2 linked regions of the Arabidopsis thaliana genome follow. The protein of the gene in region 2 purifies or fractionates together with the protein of the main gene of each other region. This does not show direct contact. Each region holds a gene or a part of one and is shown on either strand. Other genes may lie near its edges. The genes, in order: CYCD2;1 and ICK1.

Region 1 (17,298 bases), 420 kb from region 2:
GGCCTTTGCCCTGGTCTCAATGATGTCATCAGACATGTGAGTTTGTATCTGAAACTTTGGCATTATAGAAACAGTGTGTGTGTGTGTGTGAAGTCCTACTAAAGACCTTTGATTGTTGTGTTGTATGGATACATTGCAGATTGTCATTACTCTTGAGATTTATGGTGTTAAGAACATTGTGGGGATTCCTTTCGGTTATCGAGGCTTCTCTGATAAAGATCTAACTGAAATGCCGGTATTGTTCGATTGTGCTCTTTCGAGAAAAAGGAACCCGAATCTCTGTTTCTGTTTTGGCTTATGGTTTGCTTTTTTGTGCTTTCAGTTATCAAGGAAAGTGGTTCAGAATATTCATTTATCTGGAGGAAGTTTGCTTGGAGTTTCACGTGGAGGCCCGAGTGTGAGTGAAATTGTCGACAGCATGGAGGTATCATTTAGTTTTTTTCAGTCCTTAAGGAACTTTATGAGATCACAGATTCTGAATTCTGAAAATTGAATTTACTTAGGAGAGAGGAATCAACATGCTTTTCGTGCTCGGTGGAAACGGAACTCATGCTGGCGCCAACGCTATACACAATGAGGTTCGTTACTTAACACTTGAAACTAACTAAGTGTAGTTCGTGTGAAGATATTTTTTCTTTTTCTTTTTCTTTAGTTTGTCTAGTTTGATTTACCATTCACATTCTTGCTTTCAATTCTAGTGCCGCAAAAGAAAGATAAAGGTAGCTGTAGTTGGTGTGCCAAAAACCATCGACAATGATATTTTACATATGGATAAAACTTTTGGGTTTGATACTGCTGTTGAAGAAGCTCAACGAGCAATTAACTCTGCTTACATTGAGGTAACTTTCATGTACTCTCATTTAGGATATTCACTAACATGTCTCTTTGCTTTAAGTACTTAACCATTGCTATTTGGGCCTTCTGTATTAGGCACATAGTGCTTATCATGGCATTGGCGTTGTAAAACTGATGGGTCGTAACAGTGGTTTCATTGCTATGCAAGCCTCTCTAGCAAGTGGACAAGTCGACATCTGTTTGATTCCTGAGGTACTTCTTTGTTATTATTTCAAATTCCAAAACATGATTGATGAGCTCGCTCTAAGAGATCCTATGCATCTAAAGGTTCCCTTCAATCTTCATGGGCCTAATGGTGTATTGAAGCATTTGAAGTACCTTATTGAAACAAAAGGCTCTGCTGTGATCTGTGTAGCAGAAGGAGCTGGACAGGTAACTATAATTCAACCCCAAATTAAGGAGCTATTTCCTCTACTTGAGTTCTTTGTCCAGAAGTTATATCTTTGTTTACATTTTCTTGGCATGTTGTTTCAGAATTTTCTTGAGAAAACCAATGCCAAAGATGCATCTGGAAACGCCGTACTTGGTGATTTCGGTGTGTATATTCAACAAGAGGTTAGATATAAGCAACATTTGGTTGAGACTTGAGATTTCCATAGTGTAAACTTTGTTGCTTCTTTATGATTTGACAATCTATCTTCTTCTTGTTTTGTCGAATAGACTAAGAAGTATTTCAAAGAAATAAGTACTCCAATAGATGTGAAGTATATTGATCCAACATACATGATTCGCGCTGTACGTGCAAATGCCTCGGATGGTATCCTCTGCACCGTTCTTGGACAAAACGCTGTAAGTCACTCACACACACATCTCTTCAAGTCACTCTCTCATCACTTTAGATAAGAATCTTAGAAGTAGAAACTAAAAATGTTCCGATTTGTTTTAAGTCCATTGAATTTGTTAAGCTTATGATCTTATAAAAAACAGGTTCATGGTGCGTTTGCTGGATACAGTGGAATCACGGTAGGCATAATCAACACTCACTATGCATATTTGCCAATCACTGAGGTAATTGCATATCCAAAATCAGTGGATCCTAATAGTCGAATGTGGCATCGTTGCTTGACATCAACGGGCCAACCCGATTTCATCTAAAAAGATATTATTATTCAATCACGAAACAAACTGATGATAAAAATAAGCCTTGAAATGTATAGACAGTAGCATTCTTGGTTCCTTGTTATGATGTATCAAATCATATTATTTATTTAATTTTAGTAGGAAAGTCATTGAAGTTATTTATCTTTTTTTTTGTGTGTGTGCAAATAGTGAAGTTATTTATCAATTACAAAACTTTGGTAGAGTTAAAATGTGTTCCTTAGGGCCACTTTTGTTCTTTTAATTGTTCTTTGTCTCTTCCTTCAACTTTCTCTCCTTAATCTCTCTGTTCACGCCTCTCTTACAATTCAAACTGGAAAGTGCATATAATCTAAAAAATACGATCCAAATCGATCCGAACCGGTTTTGGTTACTTAGGCCATCTTCAATGGTGAGAGCCTCCCCATGGACTCTCTACAATTATTTAATATTTTTTTTGTCAAATTATTAGAAGAGAGCTTATGTTTTGTTTTTGTTAATTTTTAAGAGTCCAATGGTAATCTCTCTAGTGGTAGTCTCTCTAAACTTTCATGTTGAAAGAATTGCCTTGATTAACTACATTGATCAAAAGTCAGCAAAATTAAGCTCAGGAAACTTAGCTAAAACTTTATTAGAAAAGAGATTCACCACAAGTGAAATTTACTAGAACAAATGAATGCATTGAATTGGACACAAAAAAACTTTTCTCTTTTGTTCGAGACATATATAATGGCCATGAAACATAGCTACATGAAGTTAGCAGAAAACTGGTATCAAAATTATTGTTTTGCAGTATTTTATGAAACAACCAAACGAACCCATCTCTAGTGATTTTTCTAACGAAAATTAGTATCCAGAGTATCCACTTAGACAGCTTTCAAAAGAAAACGATGGAGATTTAAGTGGAAACTATACTACCTAGGTCTCAATGTTACAACTTAAACAATCATCTCCATTTATAAATTTTACAGGAAAAAAAGCTTAGGATAAACAAGGATCCATACCCTTTGCAACTCTTTGACTCCAACAGTATATTTTTTCTTCTGCAATTTTGCAAGTCATAGCATGTAGTGGGTCTGCCACAGAACGTAAATGTAAAATCCCCATATGAGGGAGAAGAAGGAATCAAAGAATGCTAAGAAAGAAGGAGTCCAAAACAAAACAAAAAAAACTGGTAAGATTCCATACATAACATACAAACTTTAGATTCATATTTCCAGTAGAGAAAACATATTGAAGCATGATGGATGAACTAATTTAGCCAGGTGGTTAGCTAGATTTTCCAACTAATACGATGGCATTGCGACAAAAGCAGATCATGTAAACAACTAAATCAATCAAAGCTTAATCATCTTCCTATCTCACAACCTCCTAAACAACACCAAACAACAGCTTCACTATTCCGGAACTGCCATTTTCAATTCCCCTATACGAGAGCCTAAATTACCAACCCTAATTTTTCTAGTGAACAGGAAGAAACTCAATTCAATGTCACTGGAAGACATCAGACGGGAAAACAAAATCCATTAGATTGGAAACTCCGACGCCGCTTTTCTTGTCAGAAAGACATCCCAAATCCAGGCAACCAAGATCCATGGTGGCTTTGATCATATCTTCAAATTTATATCAGATTAGCGACGAAGATTCAGATAAGATAAGCAAAAATCTTTGCTTCAGAAAGTTCAATTGGAGAAGAGAGAAGTAGAGAGAGGAGAATATTTTTGTTTGCTTTTGTTAAAACTAAAAGAGCCAACCACGATGCGCCACGTATGGGACTCTCTCAGCTTCCAAAAACTCTGTCGAGAAAGCCGATTCTCTAACTTATTCTGTATTTTAATTTATTTATTCACTTTAAACAAGAGAGACTCAACTTTTTTCCAATAAAACCTCCCGTTGGAGGTGCTCTTAGTAAAATCAGGTTGACCTGTTAAATTCGAGTCATATCAGATATCCAAAATCCGATCGGGTATCCGCTACTCCAAAACAATTCATTACATATTATAATTTTATGTTTGATCGGATAGATTTTGGATAATTTGGCTATTTAGGATATTTCGGATAATACGATTCGAAAATCTGAATGCCTAGACCTATTGGAAACTACAAAAAGTATATAGTATTGTATTTGTGGTTCTTAACTTGTATGATCTTTCATTTTTTACCTGTTTTTAGGTAATTCATCCCTTCTTGTTTTTTTTTTGGTTTTTCCTTTTTAATTATCTTCACTGGTAACAAATTTCTAAATGATTCAGAGTTTGTGTATGCGAGATTAAAGATTGAAATTTCATATAAATTATAATTATTGAAATCTCAATAACTAGATATCATTCTACTCTCATTTTTCTTTATAGAGCTAAATTCTCAGTCGTTTCACTTAATTTAAATAATTCTTATTGTTGAGTACTAAATTTTACGAAAAGAATAATTATAACTGTGACTAAAAAACGAGAAGCAAGAAAGTGAAGGCTAACTAAAGAGAAGATGAAAACTATGCAAGTAAGTTCGAAAGGTTCCCCACACTTTTATGACTCCCTCAAAATGCACTCTCCCCCACACTTTTCACTTTTTACATGTTGACCCTTGTTCTTTTCTTTTTACCCTTTTTCCCCCATTTTACTTTTTCTCTTTTTGAGCTTTTCTATGTTTGGTATAATTTAAAGTTTTAAGAATAATATAAATCATTATACAGAGAATCTTAAATCTACAAGTGTGGATGATCAAAAGTTGATGAGATTACATAAGATAAGAATAAAATAATTACCATTACGTGTGTAATTAATGTTTGCGAGAACCAAAATCCTTCTTGTTAACATTAATTAGATGTCTAATTTTGAACTAATAGTAAAAGTTCCTGTGTTGTTTTTAAAACATGACATAAAATAACTACCTTATGGCTTAAACGTGTAGTTTTATATCTTATCCTGTATTATTTTCTTAAAAAAACAAAGCATAATATGCTATCATGGATTCCATTTCCATAATATAAGCTGACGAAAATTAATATTAGATAACTGATAAGAAAAAAGTACAGTGTCTTGTGTGTTTGAGAATATTTAACAAAATCTGAAATGACGAAATAGTTAGTTAATTGTATATTGAGAAAAAAAGACCAGGCATGCCGCATATACCAACTTACATGTACACTTGGAACTTATATATTCGTATATAGTTTATAGATATTACCGATATGTATAAATATTCCAAACACTAAAGTTAAAAAGTTGTCTGAAATCACGATGTTATGTTAAACTAGATTCGTTTCCGTTATTGTTATCAATCAAAACAAGTTTATCGTGCTAATTTGATTTAAAATTCTAATTTTAAGGTTAACGGATTTAGTACTCATGATTAACACTTTGGCATTTGTATATAGAAAATTAGATAAAATAACTTGTATATGGTTAGATTCATATACTTTATTAGTCACTGTAATTTTTATTAGTAGTAGTAGTTTGACATATCATACTTTCTATTTATTTGGATAGATGAAAAATCATATATTTTTCTCCAATTTATTATGTATTTACGTATATTATGTTTGCCTTGTTGTTTTGGAGGTAGCGCATGAGCTACCACAACGATAGAAAAGTATTATTTTTCTTATTAACGGATGCGGGACTCCCAACTCTTTGTCTTTCACTTGTAAACTATTATTAGTTTTATATTTTGAGTTAAAAACAGCTATTTGTAAATCGCTGAATTAGGTTGCTAGACACACACTAAAGAACACACCACACACAGATCCACAAGTATACATGTTACGAAAAGAGACGAGTAAAGAAATTCCAAAAACTTGCATCTATATTTTTATGTTATAACCTTTTTTAGATGAGTAGTTTTAATTTTGTTTGTAATATTCATATCAAAATATTTCTCCGCCAGCATGCATAGTGTTAAAATTTTTTTTAACCTTTTTAAAAAAGTTGTCATAATGGAAGAATAAATTAAATTTTACACACAAACATGCATATACATATTTGAAACCCCCAAGAAGATGCTCATCTCGTTTTACACCATTCTCGATCTAAGATCTAAGATTCAATTTTTATTAACTAAATCTTGTTTCTTTTATATCCATAAAACTTAAATTAACACACTTAAAGTTTACAAATAAAACAACAACAAAATCGCCGTTTAAATAACTCAATCACACTAATTAAATAAAAATATTGGTATAGTATTATTATTTGTTGAATATTAAAACTAGAAGTAAAAATGTTGTTTTAGATGAACTTAACTTAAGTACTTTGGAGTTATGTTCGTAAATGGGTGGTAATCACGTTTAGCTATATTAATTGCTTATAATAATATTGAGCTGCATCAGAATATATAAATAGTTAAATACAAAACAACAAAAGAATATAGAAATATATTATTTATGTGCATAAATAAGCGAAAAGAAGGCAGTAGATTCCCAAGGTTTCTTATGCTCAGAGATTATTATTTTTTCTGTTTTCTCAGACACGAGGAGAGAGATAGAGAGAGATGTTGACCGGTCGCACAGTCAAAACAAAAATAAATGGGCCCACTAAACTCTTTTCGGGGCCCATTGTGGTTTTCTCTTCTCCAATCCCCAAAACATGCAATTGTCTTTTAAACCAATTAAGTATTTTTGTTGTTGGGAAAATTAGATATTTTTTTTCAAAGCAAAGATAATAGTAAAAATACATAAAATTCAAGGGTTGTATTAATATGTAATAAGTTACTAACCAGTAACCAGGTAAATAGTAAGGGTTTTTAAAAATAAATTCTCTTGTATATCGTTTTAGAAATTATTTTAATTTTAAATAATGTCAATTGTACTTCTTTTTATAACTAGAAGTTCTTGAGAATAGTAAGAACTTGAATATATTTAAGGGCAAAAATAAGTTTAGTTTCAAAAAAAATATCACATGTTTTCGAATGTTCCACAAATAGCACAAATTTAGTATTATTTTTAAATTTTTTTTGGAAATGTCTTACTTAATTGTTGAAAATATTTAGGAATATCTTACTTAATTGTTGAAAAGCTTCTAAATAATTTGAATTTAAATTATAGGTACTAGAGTCATCAATATTTACAGTGTTCCAATTCAATACTACATTCACAAAAATGTAATCTCATGTCACTACGATGTGATTTAGAACAGTTTAGAAAAAATTGTATGTTCCGATAATGGAGAAAATATAGATTTTTATGTGATAAAAATTTATCGGAACAACAGTTTTTTTTAACATGATATATGCATATTTATAGGAACAACAAATTTTTTGTAAAATGGAGAGAATATAGATTTTTCTGTGATAAAAGTTTTTTTTAATATAAATTTAAAATAATCTCTACTGCATTATATGATACTTTATAACTTCTGACATATGTTAAAATAAAAGATATATACTATAGTGCATATTTGAGGACACAAAAATCATAAAATTAATTCTCTTTCTATTTCTTTTTTTTTTAATTATATCTCTGACATTATGTAGAAAAAAAAAAGTCCCTTGGAGCAAGAACAGGGATGTCTCTCATCATCATCAATAATGACTTATTAATTTTGCCGCCTTCCAAAGAGCTCTCTCTCTCTCTCTTATTTTCTTTTTTCCTTTCTCACAAAACTCTCATATTCAATCCAATTTTCAGATTGAAAATGAGAAATCAAAGAAAGAAAAAGAAAATTTATGTAGAAAAAAAAAACCAAAAAAATAAATAAGAACCTCAAATGTCATGAGTACTTGTGGTTTTGGGTTGTAAAAAGCAATGTATGACTCTTTTATTCTCTCTCATTGTTTTCTCCTCCTCTTGTTGCTGTTGTTGTTGTTGTTGTTGTTGTCTGGACTACTCTGTGAGGAATTTGTACATGACTCAACTGTTCTCTCTTCACTCCTATAGCTCAAACATGTTGCTTCCAACACTCCAACTGGACTTGCAGGTACAGCTCTTACCGCAACTCGCGCCTGCTCCTGCGATAAACTAGTTCCCCGCACATTCTCCTCCCCAGTGAGACTTCTCATCAGATTCAAACATCTCTTCACCCTCTCCTGCTAAAGGAAGACAATGATCAGATGAAATGTGTGTTCTTGAAACAGTAAAGGTTTAAGTCTTTCGCTATCATACCGAATGTTAATTACCTGTTTTACATATATGAGACTAGACAGTGCCTTTTCCTCATCAATGCATTCTGTTTCTCCTGAAATGGAAACAGACACTGCAGCAGCTGCAGCTATCTCAGAAGGCCTGAAGTCTAAGAATTCAATTGCTGCATTCAATTTTATAAACAGAAACGTATCAGCCTTCCTCATTAAACAAAGCCAAGTTAGTTGCAAATAAAGAAAGAATGTTGTTATAGCTTGCTTCTGATCAATAAATGACGCACCTTTGGTGGTGTTTAAGATGAATCTTGACGATCTATAGATCAAATTCTCCGACACGTGACCACTGATCTTGTCAACGAAATAATCAATGAAGGAGAATGGAGTTAGAGCTTGCAATCTCCAATTCAAAGTGGTGACAACCAAAAGCTCCATCCTTTTTATTGTTTTGGCCTCAAAAACAAACTTGGGATCTTCCACCTGCTCATAGGAACAACATTTCAAGATTAGTTCCACTAAAACCTCGATTTTCGACTCTTCGTAAGAAGACTGAAGCTATTAAGGACTAAATGTAAGTTGCACCTGTAAATCAACAATGTGAGGCACATCAGTTTCTTCCATTTTGGATGCTAATGATAAGCAAGACACAGCTAGTAACTGAGCAGCCCAATCCTTGTCTTTCTACGCAATCGAAAACACACAAACCGGTCATCGTATTGTCTCGAATACGATGAAACCAATCCGCAAAGACGATGCAACTTACCGGCAATTCATAGGATGTTAAGAACCGATCCAAGTAGTTCATGGATAGGCATATGCACAGATGTCCAAAATGGTAATGAGCACAAACCTGTAGAACAATTGGCATTAAAGACAAAAGAACTCAATTACTCAACAAGATCAATACCTCAATCTATAGAGAAGATTCAATTAATCTATAATAAATACATCAGAGAATGAATGAGCTATCAAACTGATCAAAGAACACACTTAAACTCAATCACAAAGCACAAAAAGAGACCAAACCAGATTTGAGGTTTGTCTTAAAACACAACACAGATCAAAGCAATCAAAAGAAGAAATCACATACCTTTAGAATCCAATCAAGAGCTTGGTTTCGAACAGACAAATCCAAATCACCAGAAAGCAATCTCTTAACATAATCAGTTCCAGGGCAAAACTCAATCTCTCTCACCAACATCTCTTTGATTCTGTCTTCACTCAAGGACGATGAAGAAGAACCCATCATCGGAATTGATCCGTTGCCGCCAAAGTTGTCGTCTTTAGCAAAAAGTTGGTGATTGTAATCAATCTCGTTCGTAAATCCGCCGCCATAGTTGATATCATCATCGTCGTTGTCAATGATCCATGACTCGCTGGTTTCACCACAAGCAAGATTCTCAGCCATGGGGTTTGGTTTGATTGTTGTGTTGTGTATTGATTGATAATAGTCTGTTTAATTCGTTTATTGGGGTGGTCTCAAAGTTTTTGAGAGCGTTCGGACAAGAAAGTGAAAACTAAGGAAGCAAAAGTCATCAAAGATGGGAGATTTCTGAGGAGGTTTTGTCTTGAGGAACTGCGATTTTCATGGCAGAGGAGAAGAGAGAGGAGAGAGAGGCTTATACAGAGGAAAGTGGGTGAGTGTGTTTTAGGGTAGAGAGGGGAGAGACCACTCCACAGACTCGAAATGGAAAATACAGAGAATATACACTAAGAACAATATGTGGAAATATAAATTATATTTAAAATTTAAATCATATTGTTATTAATAGTTTAATATCACAAGTCCTTATAAACTAAATTTAAATTGTCATAGTAAAAACGACAAAAAAAAAAAAAAAAAAAAAATTGTCATAGTAAAATTTAGAAATTACATAAAGTCAACGATAAAAAAAAAGTATTCCAAAAAAATAAGTTGGTCATAAATGTTGAAATCTCCAGAGATACTATTCCCAAAAAAGAAGACAATTCACTATTTTTTGGTTTTCATGTTCTTGTTTAGTGTTTTGTAAACTTCTGAAATTGAATCATATGCTTTATTTACTTCTATTTAGTGGATCTTTCTTTTGAGGTTAAGGTTAGGGAACCTTGTGCTATTCGCCAACATCGGTAACGTCGAGATATAAACCGAAAAAACAATAACTAATAAGATCTCAATCACTTATGATTTTGAACTAGAGTAGAATAAACTTAAAGACGCCCAACTGTTTTTACCGCTGTAGTAGATATGAAAGACTGATTGAAAGCCAAGAAAAGAAAATGTCAAAGATAGAAAGAAGAACCATCGACCAAAACTTGACCTAAAACATCGGACTACCACCACATAACCTTAGAAACAAAATATGAAATGCGGAGTTGTGGAAACATCCAACCTAAGGAAAAAAATATATAGCTAAGGCTATGTTTCTATTAAGACGAATCATTTAGTAACTTCACTTATATAAAATATTTTGTCATGTTTAAGTTAATTACAGTTTAACTAACACTATACATTTCTTTTCATTTTCATGATTTTCCGGATCGATTTATAAGTGTTAATTTGGATTCGATCGTTTAGACATCATTTTCAACATGTGTTCACATCCTTCCTCTATTCTTAAACACCTAGTTATATGGCAAAGTAATCTGATACAAAAGATATTTGCTAATAAATGATCTAATAATTTTAGAAATCTAACCCGCATAGCATGAAAATTGCTTAGTTCAAATCAAGATTTAGGTAATGTAACTCACCTTTATTAGGTTTTTAACTTTTAACTAGGTGAAGTGTTCGCGGATTTGGCCCATTCGACATTGTTATGAAGCGGTCACGATTATGAAAATTATATCCCCACTACAGAAGAAACTAAATAGGATAAACTAACTTTAGCAGTAGTCAGATGTGGATTAGACTTCACGTAAACGTACAAGTTGCGATATGAGCTCAAGCAAACATCAGATTTTAGGGTTTCCAACATATTACTTAACATATAAATTTTGGAAATTATTTTATGTGTTTTCTAGTAACAATGACAACAATTACGATATTGATTATCTAAGGAGTGGAAGTCACTGAAGAAAAATTACTAAACAACTTTATTTCCGGATTTTTTTTTTGTTTTGGGGTTTTTAGGTTCTAGAAAATAATCTCCATTTGGAATCAAAACTATCAGTTTCGTTTGGACACGCTTTTATTATCTCAACTGAGGCCATCCCACTATATTACTAAAGAAAAATACTTCTAAATCCAAGAAGGAGAGACTTCTCAAACTGAATAGATAAATTACATTCAGAATCAGAGAGCCTATAACAACTACATGCCACATCTCAGCAATACTAAACAGTTTGTTCTTTATAACCAAGGCCAAAAATTTGTCTCAGAGAACCATTTTATACTTTACTATCTCAATGATCTATGAATTCCCTACTAAGCATATCAATATCATTGCAGCATAGAAGGGTATCAATCCAATCCTTTGTGTGATTGCAAATATTCAAGACATAAACAACAATTATTTAAGTCAAGTCAAGTCAAATATGATAAGGTTTGGGTTTCTATTGAACTTAAACAATAGATTAACATGCAATACCAAATTCAAATGCAACTATACTAAGGAGAATGTAAAGAACTAAACAACTAAGCAATGAAGCAGCATGCATATCAATTGAAACTAAAGACCAAAAGTAAACAAAACAATAAACTAAAGAAAATGCAAGATTACCAGTACTAAAGAAAAACAAGGAACACAAATCAATAAAGCACTAAAGACCAGGAACACATACTTCAACTCAAAATCAAAGAAGCATAAATGATCAGACGCAAGCAAGTCGAGTTCAACAGTCGAGTAAAACAATAGAGTTTAACAACAAGCAAATAAAACGAGATTCAACAATCAAATGAAATAGAGCTATTAAGAATAGTTTAATGGGTTATAGTGGACTCCTCAATCCATGTAACTAGCTAATGATTCATGTTAAATATTTGAGTTTTTGCAATCTATTTCTTCTGCAAAATTGTTTATCTTACTTAGATCTATAGCATACTAAGTTAAACATTGAACATAGTGAACTAAATAATAGTTTTTTTTAATGTAATTTGGTTAGTTTGATTAGGTTTTCTATAGTTCGAGTTCGGTTTAAGATCAGTAAACTCGGTATATTTTCCTTTTCAATTTTGGTTATTTTACTGTTTGGTTCGGTGTTGAATTCGGAAATTTTGGCTCAGGTTCGGAGATTTCAGCTCGGTGCCCGATCCTCCAATTAATTAGAGTTATAGTGTAACGCTTATGTTCTACAGCTATGTGCTTGACCACTACTAGATCAGAATGGATCCAACGATTATTAAACTATGTAATTACTTTACCACTTGACTACAAAATTGCTGACTTTACTTTGGGTAAGAATCACGCTTGTTCCATTTTATATAAAAACACAAAAAGGTCCAAAATATTTTCTGGCACATTTTGGTAACTCTATGGTTTTGAAAGTTGTAAGCTATTCCATATTTGTGCGCAAGCCTTTGGATTTTTGTGATCTAAGCATATACGATTTTCATTGAGCAATCATGATTAATTGCCTATACTAATCTCTTAGTTGGCTATTACGCTAAACTACCCAAAATGCCTCCTCTTCCCTTCTATTTTACATTTTCCATCTAGTCAAAGACTTATCAACATAATTATAATTAGGAAAAAATCTCAAATAAAATATCCATTTTAAAACATTTTCCCAACTAAAACTTTCAATATTTTTCGTTCCATATAAAACCTTGGAATTGAAAACAATTCCTAATAAAAACCTCCAACTTTTTTTTTTCTAAAATAAAACCACCAACTAATTAATTTTCTCTAAATAAATTTTAAAGTCGTTAAATTTGAGCTCGGTTAAAGGTTAACTAATAGTAAACGTCCTTTAACGATATAATTACGAACCTTAGAATACATTTTTTTTTCTTAGGGTTTATATATGTTTTAGAAACTAAAAAACGAATGTTGTCGACGACGTTTACTATTCCGAACAGAAATATCGTTGACCATTAGTCAACTACTATTTGAATTCAAATTTAAGGGCATCTTCATCAATGAGAAACTCACAAAGTTTCTCAAAAAAAAAATTAATATTATATTCTAATTTGATTATTTGATTAAAAAAAATATTAGTTAAAAAATTGAACCAATAGTGAAAAGAGAAATGTCATGATTGGTTGTAGAGAGTATCTTAGAGTTTTTCATTTGAGAAACTTTCTATACACTCTCTCCTTTATTTTTATTATTTTTATTTATTTAATTGTGAGAAACTCTTATGAGAAATCCCTACTGAAAATGGTCTAACAACTGGAAAGTTTATTAAGACAACATTCAAGTTTACTATTTCTTAGGTATTCTTATGTCACGAAACGCTGCTTGTTCATCTTCAAAATCGCAATACAAAAGTTATTTTCATGATTATGTGATGTCCTTCATCCGACAGAGAAACTGTAGCCCATTTTACGCCTACCCACCATATTCGAAATGATTGATCAATAGAACTCAGTCCAATCAAAAGCCCATAAATATTATCTGGGCCTTTTAATTATCTCAAATAGTAAGAAACTCAGAGCCCAAACAACTAAAACCCTAGAGTCTTCCTCTATATAAATATCTCATCTTAAAGACGACAAGAGAGATCCGGCGAAAACTGAAAAACCCTATTTTTTTCTCTGCTTTATGGTTCACTCAATTTTGTGTCCTGGTTTTTTGAAACCCTAATCTCCGTTAGTATATATGTAAAGGTAATCTATAGATGTATCAGATACTGTCTCGAGGTTCTAGGGAATGTTGAATTGGTCCTGCACTCCTGCTTAGTACGTAGTCTCGTGTTCTCTCTATTCTAGATTTAAGGGGTTTTTGTGAATTTCTTGCTTAGTTATGGTTGCAATGATGAGATCTTATAATGAAATTGAAAGTGTTTACACTTCATGAACGGTCGACAAAATAGTCGAACCTGAGCGGTTAGCTGAGCAACCATACTTATCTCATTTTAAGACAAAGATTTACTCTTTCTGCTTTAGATGTTTCATTACTTGCTTAGTTCTATGTTTTGTTTTGTTTTGTTGCAAGGATGAGCAAAAATATTTTTTGAAAGCATTGTGCTTAATGAGTCAGCGACTATAATGTCGACCTGAGCGGTTAACTGAGCAACTAAAAAAAGCTGCTTCTCTAAAATTCACTTTTTACGAATAATTTTGCTGTTAATTTTTCTTTTGTTGTGAATTTTGCTATTGATATAGGTAATTGATTTAGAGTTACCAATCCCGGTCTATATGATTATAAATAAGAATGAGAGTAATATAGTTGAATCTTCGAAAGTATTTCAAGAAGTCAGCTGAGCTTTCTCGTCATCACTTATTAGTAAATATAGTCTCTATATTTTTGATGAGTGATGATTGGAAATTTCGTTGACTCATTACTCTTGATGATTCTGCTATGTTGCTGCTCATTATGTTGTATCACCTATAATCTTAAAGAAAGACATGGAACGGTATTGCTTTGATTGTGTAGTGTGGACATGTCCACTAGCGAAGACGTCGGCATTCCGTTCGAGATGAGAATTTTCAACATCAATTTTTTGTTGTTATTCTGTTAGTGACTGGTTGTTGGTTTTGATTTTGATAGATATTGGTTTGTAACATTTTGGTAAATTCCATAACAATGTGATTTGTTATTACTCTGATCTTGTATGTTTGTATTGTCTATGTCTATTATCATTGTAGTTCGTCCTACAAATATTTGCCTAGAAATTATCTTGGTCAATTTAATAGATATATAAAATTCAAGTTTGGAGTTATATTTTGGTTTAAACTTTTTACAAAAAGAATCAACCATGATATATAAATCAATGTTAATCTAGTAAAACTCAAATTCAACTTCAAAGTGTAAATCCTCTTGCCCTTATTCTTATAGGGTAACATAATCAAAATTTGTCTATTATGTTCATCTGCTTTATATGGTTTCGTATCCAATTCAAACAGTTGGTGTGATTCTTTTCCCAATTTGGTGTTAGTTCTTTATCGTTACCAAAAGTTTATGTTTGCTGAGAGTTTTGAAAGAATCGTTACTAAACATTACTCCAACAAAGCAAGAGTTTTGAAAGAATCGTTTATGTCCGTAAGAAGAGAACAATCCATATCAACGCAACGAATGAGTTGATCGAATCTGATTCTGATGACTTAAAAGAGGAATTAGGTTTGAGTCGGTAAACGTGTGGAAAGTGCGTTCTCGTAGACGCGCTTTTAGTTTATGATGCTGAAAGAAGATTCTACATAGTAACGTATGTGTGAAACTAAAGCCATCTCAATAACACGTGGGTGCTTGTTACTGATTCTTGATTTTGTCTCTCTTTTTTTTTAATGAAACTTTTTGGTTGACCTGATGTAATCTTAACGTTTTGCGATATTTCATTGTCTACAGCTTGATACATGTCTATTATTGATCTTTGATATATATATATATAGCTAGGAAAGGTCCTTCGAAATTAATTTATAGAATAATTTGAACATGTCCAAAGTTTCATGAAACTTTCATCTAATTAAAAATCATTTATCTCGTCGTATGAGGATTCAGTAAAGACATAGTAATAATCCATATATATAACAAGCAATGATAAATAATATATATCTATATATATTTCATATCAACTGTTTTATACGATTTGATATAATACCATGGTTTATACGATTTTCAAAAGAATCGGGGTTTCTTAAATTCAGTTTCATTTTTTTTTTCTATAGGTAAAAAAATCCATGTAAAAATACCTATAGTCCAATTTTTATATCGATTTATCTGGACTGTACTCTTTAACTTCCACCGTAGCAAATATATCTTGAACAATAGCTTTGGGTGGAAATAAAATATGTCGGCAAATACTAAATATTGTGTACAAACAGGCCAGACAAGGTATTCTGTATTACTGTATATATTTGCACTTCTCCACTCTGAGTTAAGTGCTCTTCATGTACTACGGAAGCGTGATACAATACAGTCTGAATTCGTTTCATGTTGAAACGGATTGCAAAGTTAGTAAAAGCCATAGATGATGAAGAACCATGGCATGCATTTGCCACAGAACTTGATTCTTTTAATCTTATACGTTTCCGTTTTAGATTCTTTTCGATTTATCATATCTCTAGGAACAATAATGTTCACGCCGACTGTTTCTCTCTTGAACTTCTATATTTTCCCATCTAAGCTCAGGTTTGAGAGTGGTTTGCATATAAGACCAACCTATTCAAACATGCTTAGTGATATATGAAGTTTTTTGTTGCTAAGAAAAAGGTGTAAAATTAGGTGGTCTCAGGGCGGATCCAGAAGAAATATTTAATGGGGGCAAAATGTTGCTAAAAGGGTTTGAAGCTATGACCTCTTGGTTTTAGTGGGGGCATTCCTTACCACTTTCCTACCTTACATACAATATTTCTATACAAATATCATCAACTATTTATATTTTGCTGGTGGCAGTTGCCCCCACCAATCACAACGTGAGTCCGCCCCTGGGTGGTCGTGGTCTAATGCTTTCTTGAACATTTATTACTTTGAATTTCAGCTCTATGTAAAAAGAATTCATCTTTGAATGAAAAACAGTTTCCGGAAGGAAAAAAAGAAGGAATATTACATAGTTCAAACTTAACATAAATATATCTAAATAATTGATGCGAAATTCGGTGGTGTGGTGCTTTCTTTTCTTGAACATTGATTACCGAAGATTTTTTATCAAAGATCTTCAATCTTTCCAAAAAATCTTTGTAAAGCATCATCTTTTTTTGACTAAAAATAAAGCTTTCAAGAAAAAGAAACGAATATTACATAGTTCAAAATTAACATAAACGAATCTAAGTATTTCACTGCCTTGAATAATGAATCAAATGAACTGTTTCTTTCTTTCTTTCTTCTCCATGAGAAGAATTATCATATCATAGATCTATTCCAACAAATGGGAAACAATTTAAAACTACTCAAATAATCAAAAGAAAATTATAACCAGAAAAAAAGAGAAGCTTATTGTCGCCACCATCATTCATCTTCTTCAACATAATTCAACTCTTGTTTTTTTCAAAAGTCATAGTCCTTGAACAACTTCTTAACTTGTTCAAGCGTAACAAACAAAACCACCGTGAACGGTGCTTGTCTCGAAACCGTCGGGATAAAACCTTTATACAAAGACATAATCCCTTCCGCTTTCACCGTTTTCAAAGCACAATCAACCGCTCCTTTATACGGCGGAGCAACTCCAGCCACCACCTTCATATTCATCACTCTCGTCTTAATCACATCAACAGGATTA
Region 2 (16,797 bases):
TATGCCATCATCATGTGGAAAATGAATCATATGCTAGCTTTGTCAAATAAAAGAATATATAAAAGACATCTCGTACACAATATTATATTTTAGATTGAATAAATAAGAGTTCAGAATATTAATATACTTCGCTGCTCTTTTGCTACACCATAATACTGTGTTGAAACGTACATAACTACATATATGTGCAAGAAGATGTTATTATAGCCATTAAACTTGATCCTAAAAAAAAATCTTAATTATTTTTCTTTTCATCTTAAATACTAATTTTGTAACTCAATCTTAAATGTGCATATGCTTTTATCAAGTGTTTTTGATAGCTATATTATTTTAATTCTATTTATATGAAAAAAACATATACAGGTGGAAGATTTCTTTGTTGAAATGCAAGAAAAAATAATTTCTATTTGTTGAATAAATGTCTTAAATGGAGAAAGCTCCTTGGATATCATTGCATATGTTAAAATTTTCTACATTTCAACAAAGAATATAGAAAATTTCTATGTTTTTCTTTGTTAGTGTGACAGAATCTACTAAAAAATACATATTTTTATGCCAATGGTTAATATGTTTAACGTTTTGTGTTTTAGTGATATCATACAAAAGTTTCTAGCTAGCTAGATTTTTATGCCAATGGCTCTCTCCATTTTTTTATGATTAAATTTTCAAAAAACTAACAAGAGAACTTTGTGTATTATTTCTTGGTTTTTTATACTCCAATGGTAGGTTCTCTTAAAGGAGGTCTCTTAAAAAAAAAATATTCATATAAATTATTTTATTTCATACAACTTAATATTACAAAGCATAAAATATTAAAATACATTTTTTGGAAATATTATAAAATAGATGTGAAATAAATATTATAATGTTTAGTTAAATATATAATTTTGTCATAAATTATGAGCTAATTAAAACAAAATTAGTAAACCAAAACATTTAGGGGGATGTATTGGATTAGGGATTTTAGAAGATTTTTGTTTTTCTTAAAAACCATATCAAATCTAGTGTTATTCAAAAATTAAAAGGTTTTTGTTCCTCTACTCATCAACAAATTAAAATTCTTATAATTTTTTTTTTTTTGTTTGGCTTGAATCTGCATGACTCACTCAAATTAGAAGCCAATTACTATCATCAAATTAGAGATACATTTAACTATGAAGCGAATTACTATCACCAAATCATGAGCTATATGTGTTCCATAGTTACAGAGTCTATCACCAAAATACATAACGCCAACAAAACAAACTCCTAGTCTTGTACATCTATGAAGCCAATGACTCAAAACATACAACATAACCATCATGAAGCCAATTACTAAGAAAAAGCAACAAAAGAAAGAGATAGATACAGAGAAAAGAGAAAATACTTGAGCAAGTTGGGACTGAGTCAGCTTCTTGTCTTCTCGGGCTTGCATGATGGCTTTCTTCAACTTAGTGGGCACACGATCACCTGATTTTAAAACCATATAAAGGTGTTAACGATAACCAGCATTACGAATCAATCAAACACATATGTAGACTTCCTCTCGCTAATAATGCAAACTGAAGAAAATATTAATAACCCAAGAGAACAGACTAGATTACTAGAATGACTGTACCCAAGCAAAAGCTGGTTCTTATGGGATCCAAATCAACAACACTGATCCCCATGCAACAAACAATAAAACGAAACAGATCAATCAGATAACTTCTTCGTTTTCTAAAGAACCAAATCATCTACACAACTAAATCAATCAAAGCTTAGTCATCTTCCTATCTGACAATGCTCTGATTCGAGGGAACGAAGCAAGGGTTTGGTGGGAGATTGGATTTGGGACAAACACATATAGAATTGGGTCATCGATTTGGTGAAACGAACTCGGAATGGTGAGCAGCGTCGAGAGAGACGACCAATAGAGAGAGTGAGAAAATTTCCCGACGGAATGAAAAATAAAGACACAAGGATTTTTTGTTGGTTAAATATATCAACCAACCACTGACTGCCACGTAGGAGGCTCTCTCCAGAATTATTTGTTTTGATTATTTTTAATCAACAACTTCAAGAGAACCCTATCAAATTGTGATACTCATATCATGACACTGACAAATAAAAGAGACCATGAATATGGTTAGGCCATATGCGATATGGCTTCAAAAACCAAGTTGGGACAATCTTATGTTTAGTCTTAAGTTTGAGTTCATTTTAATTCATTTTAGATACTATTGTTTGATGTAAAATTAAACTTTGATAAATAAATGTACCTAAATTTGGATTGATTTTTTCATAATCATGTTTAAAATTTTTGGTGTTATGCAATTCTGTTTTGTTTTGTTTTTCCATAATAAGCATCTGAACATTTTTACAATATTTATATATTTTAAGAAACTGAAGTTTTAAGATGTATTAATCTACATTAACCTTTTCTATTTTAATGTTAACAAATATTATATATTATAAGTACAATATTCATCAAATACTATAACATATATGTGAAATGTAAATATTTACTACTAATCAAATATCATACTGCATATTTGATTGCAAAAGAGCTAAAAATCATTAATATTGCACATTAAAAATAGTCAATAAACTAAAATCATTAAATACACAAATATATCATAACACAGCAAGTGTGTACCATTATTAATCAATAGATTTACGCTATACAAGTTTTCCGAATTATGTATGTGAAATAAATCACACCAAAAAAATGTATTTGAAATGAAAAAATTCCCCGCCTCTGTAATTTAAGTTTTTTAGATTAAAACAGCTAAACTCTTTTCATTAATTTATTAGAGATACAAGATATTGTTATTTGTTACCAATACCAATATGTAAATTTTTCTGAGTAATTATTATAATTAGTTGAATTTGGCTACCATATGCCAATTTTCAACACATAAAATTCTTTTAAACGTGAAAATTCCAATAATCTAAGAGCCAACAACCACGAAAATTAAACCTCGTTTTAGTCTAAACTCTAAAATGAGAAATAATTAGAAACCAATAAAGGCTCTTAAAGAAAGACTAGGTCAAGTTCAAAGCAAGTTTTGCTTTGTGTGGTGGTCGTCGTCTCTTTCTTTAAACACACTTGTTTTTTTCTTTTTCCTTTGACCACTCCAATATAAACAACCAAGAACCAGTGTTCCTCGTCCATTCACTCTCTCGTAATCACACACACACTCACTCATACGAAGCCAATTGTTCCACACAAATTGGAAGCGACGACAATGGAGCCGAAAGAGAACGGCTCAGAATTGGGTCAGAAGATCATTGACGGACCAACGAATCCAATGGTCACACCTTTACTCAATGATCTTTATCAATTCACCATGGCTTATGCTTATTGGAAAGCTGGCAAACACAACGAACGATCCGTGTACAACACACAATCTCTTCTCATGCTCTGCTTTTGATGTTGAATTCTGAATGGTTTTGTATATTTGAAATTGTTTTTGTTTCCTTTTCAGTTTCGATCTGTATTTTCGTAAGAACCCATTTGGTGGTGAGTACACTGTGTTTGCTGGATTAGAAGAGTGTGTTAAGTTCTTAGCCAATTTCAAATTGACTGATGAAGAAATCGATTTCGTTCAAGAGTGTTTGCCTGGATCTGAGGTATATCAAAAATCTGTTTGTTTTTAGATTGTTATTGATTAAAGTTTGGATTTTTAAATCAGGGTTTTATGTTTGTGATTCAAATTAGGAAGCTTTTTGTGATTATCTTAGAGGGCTTGATTGTTCTGATGTTGAAGTTTATGCAATTCCGGAAGGATCAGTTGTTTTTCCTAAAGTACCTCTCATGAGAGTTGAAGGACCTGTTGGTGTGAGTCTCTTTGTCTCTTTCATTTGTGAAGATTGTTTAAGGAATAGTTTTCTTGAATGAATGATTCATCAGTTGTTGTAAAATCTCCATAGGTTGTTCAATTGTTGGAAACTCCATTCCTCAATCTTGTCAATTTTGCATCTTTGGTAGCTACTAACGCAGCTAGGCATCGCTTTGTTGCCGGAAAATCTAAGAGTCTACTCGAGTTTGGTGCTCGAAGGGCTCAGGTTTCCTATAAATCTCTCTCTTGTTTTTTGATATATTGCCTTTTGTGTTGTTCTTTCCATCTCTGTCTGATGTTATTAGTGTTGGAATCTTAGGGTCCGGATGGTGCAATAAGCGCATCAAAATATTGCTACCTTGGAGGTTTTGATGCAACAAGGCAAGTCTTGCTTTTTGTTTTTGTTGATCTGGAAGTAGGTGAAAGGGAATGTGGAAATGATGTGTTTTGTGTTGTTGGGTATTTTGCCAATGACAGTAATGTAGCAGCTGGAAAACTTTTTGGGATTCCTCTTCGTGGAACACACTCTCATGCTTATGTTAGCTCATTCATGGTCAGTTCACTTCAGCCAAAAGTTTCAATTTTTATGTGGAGGTTACATACTTGAGTTAGCTAGTAGAGACGATAACACAAAGTTTCGTGAAAATAAGATATTCTTGTCAATGCCTTTGTTGCTATAACTTTATTAGCCATGGTTCTGATGCACACTTAATATCCTCGCTCATAACAATATCACAAAAGCATTTTCGATATAATTAGTTAACTTTGGATTGCAGAGTACTGATGAGATTGTTGACAAAGTACTTCGTAGTGCTGATGGGAAAACCACGTGCGAGGATTTTGTTAGTCATGTTCAGACATGGTTAAAAAAGATTCAGGTTTGTTTATTGCACATTTTGCTCTTCCTCTTCCTGTTTTCTAGTCTCAGGACCATTGTTCTATTTCTGCTTCAACCCTTTGCTTGAATCTTTGTCACAGTTTTTCTTATGTTTTGTTTCTTTGTGGATGACAGTATTCACCATCTCTAAGTGGCATTTTCTCTGAGACAAATCAAAGCGAGCTAGCAGCTTTCACCTCATATGCACTGGCATTCCCCAAAACTTTTCTTGCCCTCGTAGATACATACGATGTGAGCATTAAACACCATAGTAGATAGCTCATTTGAGCCTTAGGATTTCTAATAAACTCTTATATTAGTGTTTTGCTGACTGTTTTACAGGTGATGAAGAGTGGAATCCCTAACTTCTGTGCAGTTGCTTTAGCACTCAATGACTTTGGGTGTGTAAGAATCTCTTATCAATACCCGATCGTCTGACTTGACTTTGTACTTCTTCAGGATCATATGGAATTTGAGATGCAATTGATGTTTATTGTGCTGCGCAGATATAAAGCATTAGGTATTAGACTGGATTCAGGTGATTTAGCTTATCTATCTAGAGAGGCCAGAAATTTCTTCTGCACGGTAGAGAGAGAACTAAAAGTGCCTGGTTTTGGGAAGATGGTCGTCACTGCTAGTAATGATCTAAATGAAGAGACGATTGACGCTTTAAATAAACAGGTGACTCCCTAACCCACTCTCAAATGCCATGCCCCCGAAAGATTGATTATTATTAAGCAGTGTTTTTTCTTTCATCTCTATAGGGACATGAGGTGGATGCTTTTGGCATCGGGACCTACTTGGTCACTTGCTATTCACAAGCGGCCTTAGGTTGCGTTTTCAAACTTGTGGAGATAAACAATCAGCCTCGGATTAAACTTTCTGAAGATGTTACAAAGGTTAAAACTCTCTCTCTCTCTCTTGGTGTTCTGAACATTCAATGTCACATTGCACTTAATCTGATTATCATTCTGATTCGTTTAGGTATCAATACCGTGTAAAAAGCGAAGTTACAGATTATACGGCAAAGAAGGTTACCCTCTGGTAGATATAATGACTGGAGAGAACGAACCACCTCCAAAGGTAAAACGAAAGATAACTCTCTCAAAGATTTTAATCTCATTACCTTATTGCATTTTTACATAATATCTTTCTTGATATCAAAGGTTGGTGAGCGTTTACTTTGTCGTCACCCATTCAACGAATCCAAAAGAGCATATGTAGTGCCACAACGTGTCGAAGAGCTCCTCAAATGTTATTGGCGTGGAAGTGCAGGTAAAGATTTTCCGGTACCGTAGAGTTATTAATGACAATGCTTTTCACTGATTATTGTTTCTCTATACCAATGAAGATGAAGCAAGAGAAGTATTACCGCCTTTGAAAGAGATAAGAGACCGTTGCATCAAACAGCTCGAAAACATGCGACCTGATCATATGAGGAGATTAAACCCAACTCCTTATAAGGTATGGTTTTATCCGACAAACATGTTTTTCAGTTTCTGAGAAATCTGTGTAAATGTTTTTTTCTCTCATGGTTTACAGGTTAGTGTAAGCGCAAAGCTGTACGATTTCATCCACTTCTTATGGCTAAACGAAGCACCTGTTGGTGAATTGCAGTGACAGAACAACCAAAAAGAAGAATCTGGTTTTGGTTTGGTGTAATGTATATAATTTATATACCACAGCATCACAAATATGCATTTTTTTCACTTTTAGTTTCTTTTTCTTACAACATTTTGATGATCTCTCATTGTCGTAGTAAGTTTCATTTTCTTACTGAGGAAAGAAACTCTCTGCGTTCACTGGAACTTTGTTTTCAACTGATTCAATAAGATTTTATATTTACAGCTGTAAACATACTGGAGACTGTAAAAACATTTACTCAAGTCAACGATTTTGGATCAGGTTTAGTTTCGTCATATGGTTGACAACTTACTGTTGCAAACGGATTGGTAAGCAGTTGAGTTAATTGAGTTTTTTCTAGCAGAGATTTGAAGAACATTACCTTTCTTCAAAAACTTCTTTAGGCGTTACTAGGACGTTTGGGGTGGACCTAGTCACTAACCACATATTCAAAATTCATTTCCAAAAAGATGAATTATGGAATATGAGAATAGAAAAATACAACAGAGTAAATGAGGAGTAAAACTTTATTACAGAAACTTACCAAACAGTAAAAAAAAATATGGAATATAAGGAAACCATTACTTAACGAAAAATCACTTAACAAGAATACAAGATGACTAAAAATGACAAGACGATAATCCATCCAAATTGAGGTTAAAAACAAGTGATAGTTTTGGTCTTATACAACAGAGTTATACAAGTGTAACTTTGAATTCTTATGGTCTCCAAATAGCCATGGCTTCGAGGGCAGGGCACTCGATATGGGCGTGGGTTTTCTTGGATGAAAGTTAAATTTGTTGATATAAAAGAAACACATAGTATACACAAAACTGGTCGGGACCAATACTCTTTTTTTTTTTGGCTCCGTTCATATTTTCAAAACAACAATTCTTTAGTGAAAATTAATAGATTGATTAAAGAAAAAAATGTTGAGAAAACATGAACTTTCATATTGTTGACGAAAAAAACATGAACTTTTCAAATGTCATTTAAATCCTAAAGTTTAGTTTGACTTCTTAAAAAATAGTTAATTTAGTTGACTTGGCCATTCCAAACATATCTTTAAGTTTCCCTTAACAATATCACGAAAATAAAACAGCCCTCGATGAAAGAATTGTTTTTGTTTATTTGAGTCCCTCATTTAACCTGTTTGTGATCTGAATTAAGCTTACATATACAAAATGGTCCATGATCATTTGTTTTGAAGATTTTCTGAAATGGTCCATGAAAGAGTTTTGTTTCCAAGTCTTCGGATAATTTGTCTAGTTACAAAATGGTCCTGCATCATTTGGAATAATGTATTTATGGCATTATCTCAAAATTCTCTAACCATTGGGCCAGTACAGTATGCCCTTTACAGATCTAAAGTTTTATTATATGCTAGTATTATTATAATTAAAATTTTGAAAAGTTTCAAACCAAGTTTCGTGTGATAGAATGTTTGTGATTTGTTATTAATCAATAAACTTTAAGAATAACAGAATCATCTTGAAATTCTGATTGGTCGAGCTCAATCATATTCGGTGCTGAATATGAAACAAAAAAATTAGTTGGTGTGGTTAGCTGACATGGTTGGTACGATTTTGTTCAACAAAAAACTGCACTGAAATTGTCGATTAGTTAATTTAAGTAGTAGAACAATAATAACTAATTTCATAGTACTTTTTAATCCATATCAAACGTTGTAAGAAATAAAATTCTAAAATAATTTTAAGCGTTTAGGGCGGTAAGATAATCTACCAAAATGCATTTGATGTTTTTGGTTGAATATTATTAAAACGGAGAAGACAAAAAAATGAGTGTGGTTGTACCTGTGTGGGGATAGAATTTTATCAGTCACCAAAAACATAAAAATGTACTAAAGAATATGCTAAAAGATACACAAGATTCGAAGAAGAGGTAAAAGTAGAGCTAAAAGACACGACTTTTCTGGGCTCTAAAATCTGTTAAAAAGCTTTCTTCTTTTTCTGTGCAATTTCGTACTTCTAAAAACATTCCTCCTACAAATCTTATATTTCCAAATCAACAAAATAAAATTAACTTATTCCCTGAAATATTAAAATCTAAAAAGTTAAAAAAAAAACCATAAACTTCTTCTTCTTCTTCACTCTAACTTTACCCATTCGTAACGTCCTTCTAATGGCTTCTCCTTCTCGAAATCGAAATTGTACCTAATTAAAAAAAAATAAACTCACTCTTAATTTTACCTCAAAATCAATTTTAAATTATGAATAAAAAATATATTATCTATAAAAATCAAACTCACAAAATAAAATAAAAACTTACTTCTTCTTGAATTTTTCTTTGAGTTGTTTCTCAGCTTCCACAAAAAAATCTTCAATTTCCGATTCCGTTGGCATCTCCGTCATCAATTTCGCCTTCTCCTCCTCCTCCGCCGTCACCGTCTCCTCCATCGTTTTCCTCCCGCTACAACAACAATCTAACGATTCTTTAACCGCCGATTCAAATTCCGATGAATAATTCTCCATGGATTTACTTAATTCTTCTTTCTCCTCCTCTCTCAGATTTTCAAAAAGCTTCCTCTTCGTACCCCTAAAATAACTCACAAGCAAGATTCTAAATTTATTGAAGAGAGAGTCAAATAAATAACCGGGAAAATAATAAAACCTTCAAAATTCAAATCATTTTCAGTTTTTTTTTTAACACTCACCGTCGATACGTCGACGTTTCAGTGTCACCATCTTTATCTTCCTCCTACAAAAATTTCAAAATTTCAAAAAAAAATACATTAACATTAAATGATACATATACAGTTACAAGAATCTAGAATCAACAACATTAAATAACCTCCAGATGTATTAATTCTTTCTTCTTATATTCATTGCTTCCACTACAAGACGACGAAACTCCATTATCACCGACGACGGAGACAGAGCTTGATTTTTCCGATCTAACATAAACAATTCTCCGGCTCCGTAGCTGCATATACGTTGACGAAACTCCAGCTTCTACAATTCCTTTAGCTTTTCTATATTTTCTCACCATCTTCGATTTAGGTTACGTGTGCGTGAAGTCACAATCTCTGTGAGAGAGAGAGATATGATTGAGAGGATGAGGAAGAAGAAGAAAGAAAGATGATGAATTTGGTTTTGAACGGTCAGGATTGAGTTTTGTGCTGTGTGTGATAGAGAAATGGCGTGTTTTAGTGGTCCCGTTACAGTGACGGGGAATCTTTAACGGGGAAACTGGAGGCGCCGTTATTTGGATGTTATGGAGTTACTTATGCCGATGGTTTGTTTTATTGACACGTGTCGGTTATAAACGGTGACTTAACGGAACGGGAGGCGTAATAATTGTGGTGTAACTAACTATTTTAAAAACCCTCTCATCTATTGGTAATTCACAGATTTGCCATTACGCGAAACCGTTTAAAATGTTTTAAATTATAATTGACAAGCTTTTTGTATAGTTGGGATGAATTTTATAGTTTAGGTAAAATTAGAAAGTTCATATTACTTTAAAATGAATTGGATAGAGACTATATATAGATTATGTGTATAGTATAGGTGGATTGTTACGGATAGCCTAAAAACTACGTACCTGTGAGTAAAATAAGGTAAAAGTAAAACTGACACTAGAAATTATATTTTTGTTATCCCTGCGTATTTGCTTAGCCTGATGTCAAGTTGTCAACAGCACGTGTCGATCGTGATATATTGGGCTTAATAAGTCATAATATAGTAAAGGTTTCTAAGAACTAAACTTGGCCTCCATCACTTCCCATGGGCCTTGTCAGCCTTTCTATGTTTTGTTTTTGTCTCAAAGCATGAACAAAATGGAGTGGCGAGTGCATTCAAATTACCATGTCTTGCTTTAAAAATTAAAAATATTTTTTTTTTCACTGAAAGATAAATATATACTTCATAATTTCCAACCAAACATACAAAAAAATGTGGATCAAGGACAATCATTCTAGATCAACCAGTATTACACTAGGCATTTTTTTCTTCCTCAAAAAGTTGTTTTAACCAAAAAGAAAACCTAGTTGCTACATACGATTAACGGCGATCATTTTTTGTTACGCTCTTGGCAATAAAGTGAGCATCAAGATTAGATCTCCTTAACTCACCAAGCAATTTTCAATCCAAAAAATTCCCTAGTTTCTCAATCAAAAGAAGGGACTGAAATTTACATGAAGGTCATGCAGACGACTTTTGTTTTAATTGAATAACATAAAACTTTTACTCACTTTACAAAAAAGTATGAATCTATAACCCTAGATTTATAAAGATATTAGAAAACTTTTTATAAATCTTAAATTAATAACAAAGAACTTTAATAAACTTTTTAAAAATCTTGATTGAATAACAAACGATTTTACATAATCGTTAAAGTTCTTTTAAAATCATAAACCAATAATACCCCCTAAATATTTAATTTATCTCCTCAAGTGTTGCGCCCATGTTATGTAAAATTTCATCCCTATAAATACATCAGATGGTCCAAGAGGTTTCATGCATCAATACATAATACATTTTCGCCTTCGACTAAATATTATAATTTAGCTTCTTTTTTTTTCTAATTCTCGTCTCGGTTTTTCTAGTAATGGCGACGATTAATGTTTACGTTTTTGCATTTATCTTTCTTTTGACTATTAGTGTTGGTTCAATTGAAGGCCGAAAACTCACCAAATTCACCGTAACGACGTCTGAGGAAATCAGAGCTGGTGGCTCTGTATTGTCGTCGTCACCTCCGACTGAGCCACTTGAGTCGCCGCCGAGCCACGGGGTTGATACCTTCAGACCTACGGAACCTGGTCATAGCCCCGGTATTGGACATTCCGTACATAATTAACGGAGAGGAACAATAGCATCGTCTATGTGATTACATGTTGAAAATATGATTGGCCTGGTGACTTTTTTTTTCTGAATATGTATTTACGTACAGTTTCGTCATATTCAGTTTCTTGCAAGTGTGATTGTAATAATATTTATTTGATTAAATTAAGATTGATGTAATCCATCTTATTTTAAAAGCACATACATTTTTTTATCAGGTTCCAATTTTCTCATATATTTTTCTATCGAGATGTGTCACTCGCTTGAACTAAGAAATTTTTCTATCGAGATATGTCATTCGCTTGAACTGAATCATACGTAACTCGATCTAATCACAAACCGATTTAGGAATAGAACTATAGAAGCAATTTCGATTACTTGTTTATGTCTTCAAAATCTGTACGTAGAACGAATAACTATCTTTGAAATAATTTGGTACAGATATTCCATATCTGCGTTTCAAAATTTGAGCCAGACATTATTTTGCATGGAGAAAAACCTAAAAGTTTGTATTACGTAATATTAGTCACTGAAAAACTTTAGTTTGTTTGTTAAAAGTTTTAGACGGATGTTAGTATTTGAGAAATAAGCAATATACCAAGTAAAAGATGGTTAAGAATTTAGAGACAAATAACGAAAACTGAAGCTATATTTCCATTAACGAAAAAGTAATCATGTATATCCATTAACATAATCTGTATTTCTTTTAACTAAATTATATATTTATAGCTACTACTTCAAAAATTAAGAAAATAAAAAATATTTCCAAAATACTGATTTACAATTCTCATACAAAATAATAATTAAGACAGTCAAGAACCTAAGAGTATCATTAAAGGGGGGATATTAGGGAGATATTAGGAGATTCTTAGATTGTAAATGATTAAATTTAAATGTTAATTGAGCAATTTTGCTTAGAGGCCCTCTAAGCTAAGAGATCCTCTGAAGTAAAATGTGGTGGTGACGTGGCATGATTTGGTTGGTTGGAAGAATAATATTAAAGCCGAATTTTTTTTCTTACCGTTAATTCTTCTACTATGTATAATAATTTATAATATGATAGTAGAAAACGAACGAGATACTTACACTTACTTTGATGTCTCTGAATTTGTACAACCGGAATCAACTAGAAATGCACAAGTGGATTTCACCTATTCTACATATATGCCTTCAAATCTCGAGAATATATTGGAAACTCGAACTCGAATTCGTAATCGACAAGCACATCAATAATTGAATTTGATTTGGTTGAATATATATGGAAATTTTTTAGCAGAAATTAATAGTTAAATTTTATGTTTTCATGTATGTTTTAATTTTTTGTATGTCATCTATGTATTGAATATTATGAGTTCAATAATAATTAAGTTTTTATATATTTTAATTTTTAAATATATTTTTTTTAAGAACTTCAACTTAATATACTACTATTGAGCTTGCCAAAAAATTAAAACCTTACCAAAATTCTTAACTACAAAATTTTACAAAGTTTACAAATTTTAAAAAAGGTTAAGGGCTCGAGAATTTTACAAGATCATAAAGCTCTACTAAATTACATGAAACGGTCTAGTCTCCTTTAATCTATTATAGAAATGCACAACTTGAGCTTGAAATGGTAGGTAAGCTATACATGTGGTATTTCTCTATAAATTTGTAAAAGCTAACCGTACAAAAAGAAACCAAATATCATGGGATTTATTAATTGAATGGTCTCTCCTTATATTGGACCAAAAAGCGTTAGTCCAATGATGGTGAGTGATATTCGGAGTGTTCAAAAGATTCTCTGTCTAGCAGCTATAAATGTTTCGTAGGCTTCAACAACCAGTAGGATTATCATTTCGCTCAGAGTTCGTATAATTTAGTAATTAGCAGGAATTCTTTTTGTTGGTTCAATATTTGTCAATAGTAGTAGTATTCTTAACTAAATTATGACACAATAATCTATGTTTTAATAAATAAACTTGCCTTGATCAAGTAAATGACATATTAATCTATGTTTTGTAACCTGGCAAAACAATTTTAAAATGATATATAAACTACATTTGTATGACTAATTTTCAAAGTAAAAATAAAAAATCCCACAAAACAAATTATTGTATTAATAATATAGTCTGTATTATATGCATAAATATATCATTAAAATGGGTCAAATATATTCCACTATACATACTTTAATATTACATTATGTTTTCGCACTTTAATTTCTTTTGATTAATAAATCAACGGTAGAAGATGTACGACAGCCTTGCAAATCAACTTTAATGCACAAATCTATGAGTTTGTTTGGTGGCGCATGAGCTTATCGTAAACTAAACATCTTCTCGCTTAATATTGGTATATGTTCGGCACCTTTAGCAGAGCTATGGGGAGTGTATTACGGTCTCTATATTGCTTGGGGGAAGAGAGTGGAACGGTTGGAGTTAGAGGTGGACTCGGAGTTGGTGGTTGGGTTTCTAAAGACAAGGATAAGTGATTTTCATTCGTCGTCTTTCCTGGTACGGTTGTGCCATAGCTTTATCTCAAGGGACTGGATAGTCCGTATTTCTCACGTGTATAGAGAGTCTAACCGTCTTGTCGATGAGTTAGCTAACTATGCTTTTTCTTTGCCATTAGACTTTCATACTTTTAAGGCTTGTCCGCCGTGTGTGGCGTTGATTGTGGATGACGACATACGAGGAACTACAGTTTCTCGGAATGTTCGGGTGTAATTTTTTCATTTTATTTTTAATAAAAAACAGGAAGAAATCCCTGTGCCTCACAAAAAAAAACTAAACATCTTCTATGGCCTCCTCTTCATTTCGAGTAGCCAACTAATTCTTTTTTTTATCTTTATTTTTGGTTTGTTCTTATAATCATTAAGATTTTAATCTACTGAATAAAATTTTCATTAAGTAATAGTGGTGTACAGAAACTAAAGTGGGATCCATTCAAGGGACTTCCAAAAAGGCAGGAGCTAATTAGAATAATGTTTAGATTCCACCTCAAAATAGATGAAGTGTAACTAAAGGTGCACACGGTTAAACAATTAAAATGCAATTTTATTACACCCTAATAGCACTTATAAATCCTACTGGAAAAGAAGAAACCCAATAAAAAACAAAACCCACACTAAGATGAGATATATAGGTGTATTATGAATTGTCCATTTTATTATTGTTAATATCATTATTATATATATACATATACATACATATGTTTATAATATAGAGAGAGTGTTTTTAATTATTTCATTTGTGTGGTTACATCCAAATATGTTTGATTACTAGTTTAGGGTGGTTATTATTATGATTAAGTTAATTTCTGTTTCGTTTTCTTTTACATGGATTTTTTTTTTTAAGATTCATTGTAGAGAAGAGAATGGTATTAACTTGTTGTTTTTTGTCTAAAATAATAAAGAGAAGACAAAAGGCCCAAAACGATTGAAAGAAGCAATAGGGGACAGCGACCGTATGCAAGATCCAATAGACTATAACCTGATGCTTATTTCTTTACAAATTTTTATCAAGTCTCATGCCTATGAGCCTCACTAATTTATGTAATAAAAACTATAGCTTTAGCCATACCAACTTATATGATGTCTTGTTTTATAATTTCCAAAACCATCACATCAAAATTTACGAATTATGATTGCAAATTTTTGGTGGAATTTCAAGTGGTAATCAACGAAGTTTATATTAGAAAGCTTGAAAAAAAATATTTTATTTAAAATAGTTGGAGGTTTAGAGTTTAGGATGGTTAGAGCAACTGCATCGCTAGTTTTTTAATAGAAACTTTAATTATTAAAAACAAGAAAAATAAATAAAAATTAAAAGAAAGATGAGAGAGAATCTCTAAAAATCGTAAATCAAGGATCAATCCTATAAATAAAGATACATGTGTGATTTTATTGGTCGTTTGCATATATTAAATAATTAGAATATAATTATAGAATTACAATATTATTACTTTTTGTTTTTTTTAGAAACTCTCACAATCCGAAACGTTGGAGTTGCTCTGTCATTTCAATATGGCTTTGCTAGTAAAAATGTTGTGAAGATTAATTAATTTAATCATCTGGACTCTTTAGCATAAGTTTGCAAAGTTGCTATTATCAATACTTTAACCCCATGCAAAAGATTAGAAATTATCCTCATCACTACTTAATCCATATCTTTGATAAAATGACATATATAACATGTTGAATCACAATTTTCTCAAAATTTAGAATAAATTGAGTCACTGGCTATAGAGGAGATCTTTCCATAAGAGAGACCATTACAAGGACCACCTATATTTTCAGTACAAGCGCAAGTTTAGAAGTTTAAAGAACTAAACCATTTTATGTCGCAAGTAATTTTTGGATTTTTTCTTTTGGATAAATTAGTGTAGAATGGATTATTTTCAGTGGAAACATGTTGCCTTTTTAAGAAAACAGGAACCGCTAAATACAGTAACTCATACATAGAGTGAGGTCTTAGCTTAGACAATGAGATGATACCTCCGAAAAATGAAAACCTCTTTCCCTCTTTACATGTTGTCACCAGACAAACGGTTGTCACCCTTCAAAAGTCATTCTATGGTATTTTCAAATCTTTTTGTTTGATATACTTACGACGTTCTTAACAAAGTTTGGTATGGTATAGTTTTGTATTGATTATTCTTCGGATACATACAAACTAATATACTATCATGATCACATCGAACTATAGTTTTCATACATGTTGATGATATTTGATTGTTGGTAATGATTTACCTACCTTGGGACGTTTTAAAAGCTTTTATTGAAAGTTTTTCATGTTAAATATTTGGATTAACCCACATTTACACTATAACTCAGCTATGTGATTCATGTATTATCCCAATTTATGCAGACGAAAGTAGCACAAATATACACAATGGAAGGCCACATTTTGTGTGGTGTCATTCTTAAAGAGGTGTCCATGTCAAATGATCTTATTATGATCTAATAATGATATTTTTGTTTATCGTAGAAGACAAAGAAACAAACGACGGCGTCACATTCTTTTCCTGATCGCAAAGTAACGCACAATATTGGCAGTGGGTACATGATAATTTAAATGGAATATTAATTCGTTAAAGCTTGACGTTATTTATAACGTTTCATTTCAAAGAAAAAATAACTATTATAAAACATATTATGAGAAATTAATTCGTCAAAATCAAATAATTTGGAGTCTTTTAGTTTAGCTAAAGAAGGAAAAGGAGAATATTAGACAGGGAGGCAAAACTAACATGCAAATGCTTACAACTTTCCCTGAATATCGAACATTTTATTGCGGCGAGGCTGAACATTAATATTAGCCATCAATTAATATCATAAATAATAGGTCTAGCGAAACCACCACTACTTTTTCAGTTTTCACATGTTTATGTCTCATCCTTTCTTAAAACAATATTTCACTTTGTATTATTATATTCTCACGTATCATTTTGTTTCCATTTCTCACATATTAAGTATGTATTACTATCCGTGTTAATAGTTTAACTGGTCTCCTAGTTATTCATTCTATAAAGTCCCGTCAAGTTCAGGGATGATGGAAAAATCAAGGGCTACAGAGAACATGGACCTAAGACCTGAAATTTTTTGAGTAAAAATTATGAATTACTACTAAAAATGAAAATATGGTGTAGGTCGCATTCTCTCTGTTAAAGGGGCAAAATAGGTCTCTAACCCATGTTTTCTTTTTATATT

What was found.
Region 1: the proteins of ICK1 (region 2) and CYCD2;1 purify together in Arabidopsis thaliana (affinity purification with western blotting, with the first as the bait; one study listed by BioGRID). This does not show direct contact.

The regions. Positions count from the first base shown.
Region 1 is NC_003071.7:9,546,465-9,563,762, forward strand, and holds CYCD2;1 (Cyclin D2;1), read right to left. Parts: upstream 9,682-17,298; 5' UTR 9,410-9,681; coding exon 9,092-9,409; intron 8,852-9,091; coding exon 8,765-8,851; intron 8,683-8,764; coding exon 8,584-8,682; intron 8,482-8,583; coding exon 8,286-8,481; intron 8,169-8,285; coding exon 8,041-8,168; intron 7,954-8,040; coding exon 7,693-7,953; 3' UTR 7,339-7,692; downstream 1-7,338. Other genes in the region: PFK5 (phosphofructokinase 5), read left to right, coding at 1-36, 140-235, 323-424, 504-578, 699-839, 931-1,047, 1,123-1,227, 1,330-1,410 and 2 more; UCP5 (uncoupling protein 5), read right to left, coding at 17,067-17,298.
Region 2 is NC_003071.7:9,968,610-9,985,406, forward strand, and holds ICK1 (Cyclin-dependent kinase inhibitor family protein), read right to left. Parts: upstream 9,482-16,797; 5' UTR 9,313-9,481; coding exon 9,115-9,312; intron 9,022-9,114; coding exon 8,978-9,021; intron 8,860-8,977; coding exon 8,593-8,859; intron 8,478-8,592; coding exon 8,411-8,477; 3' UTR 7,981-8,410; downstream 1-7,980. Other genes in the region: NAPRT2 (nicotinate phosphoribosyltransferase 2), read left to right, coding at 3,210-3,358, 3,450-3,594, 3,683-3,802, 3,895-4,029, 4,123-4,184, 4,281-4,356, 4,580-4,681, 4,816-4,932 and 7 more; AT2G23440 (uncharacterized protein), read left to right, coding at 10,873-11,121. UniProt on the Arabidopsis thaliana protein: Binds and inhibits CYCD2-1/CDKA-1 kinase complex activity. Regulates cell division which is crucial for plant growth, development and morphogenesis. Functions in turning cells from a mitotic to an endoreplicating cell cycle mode.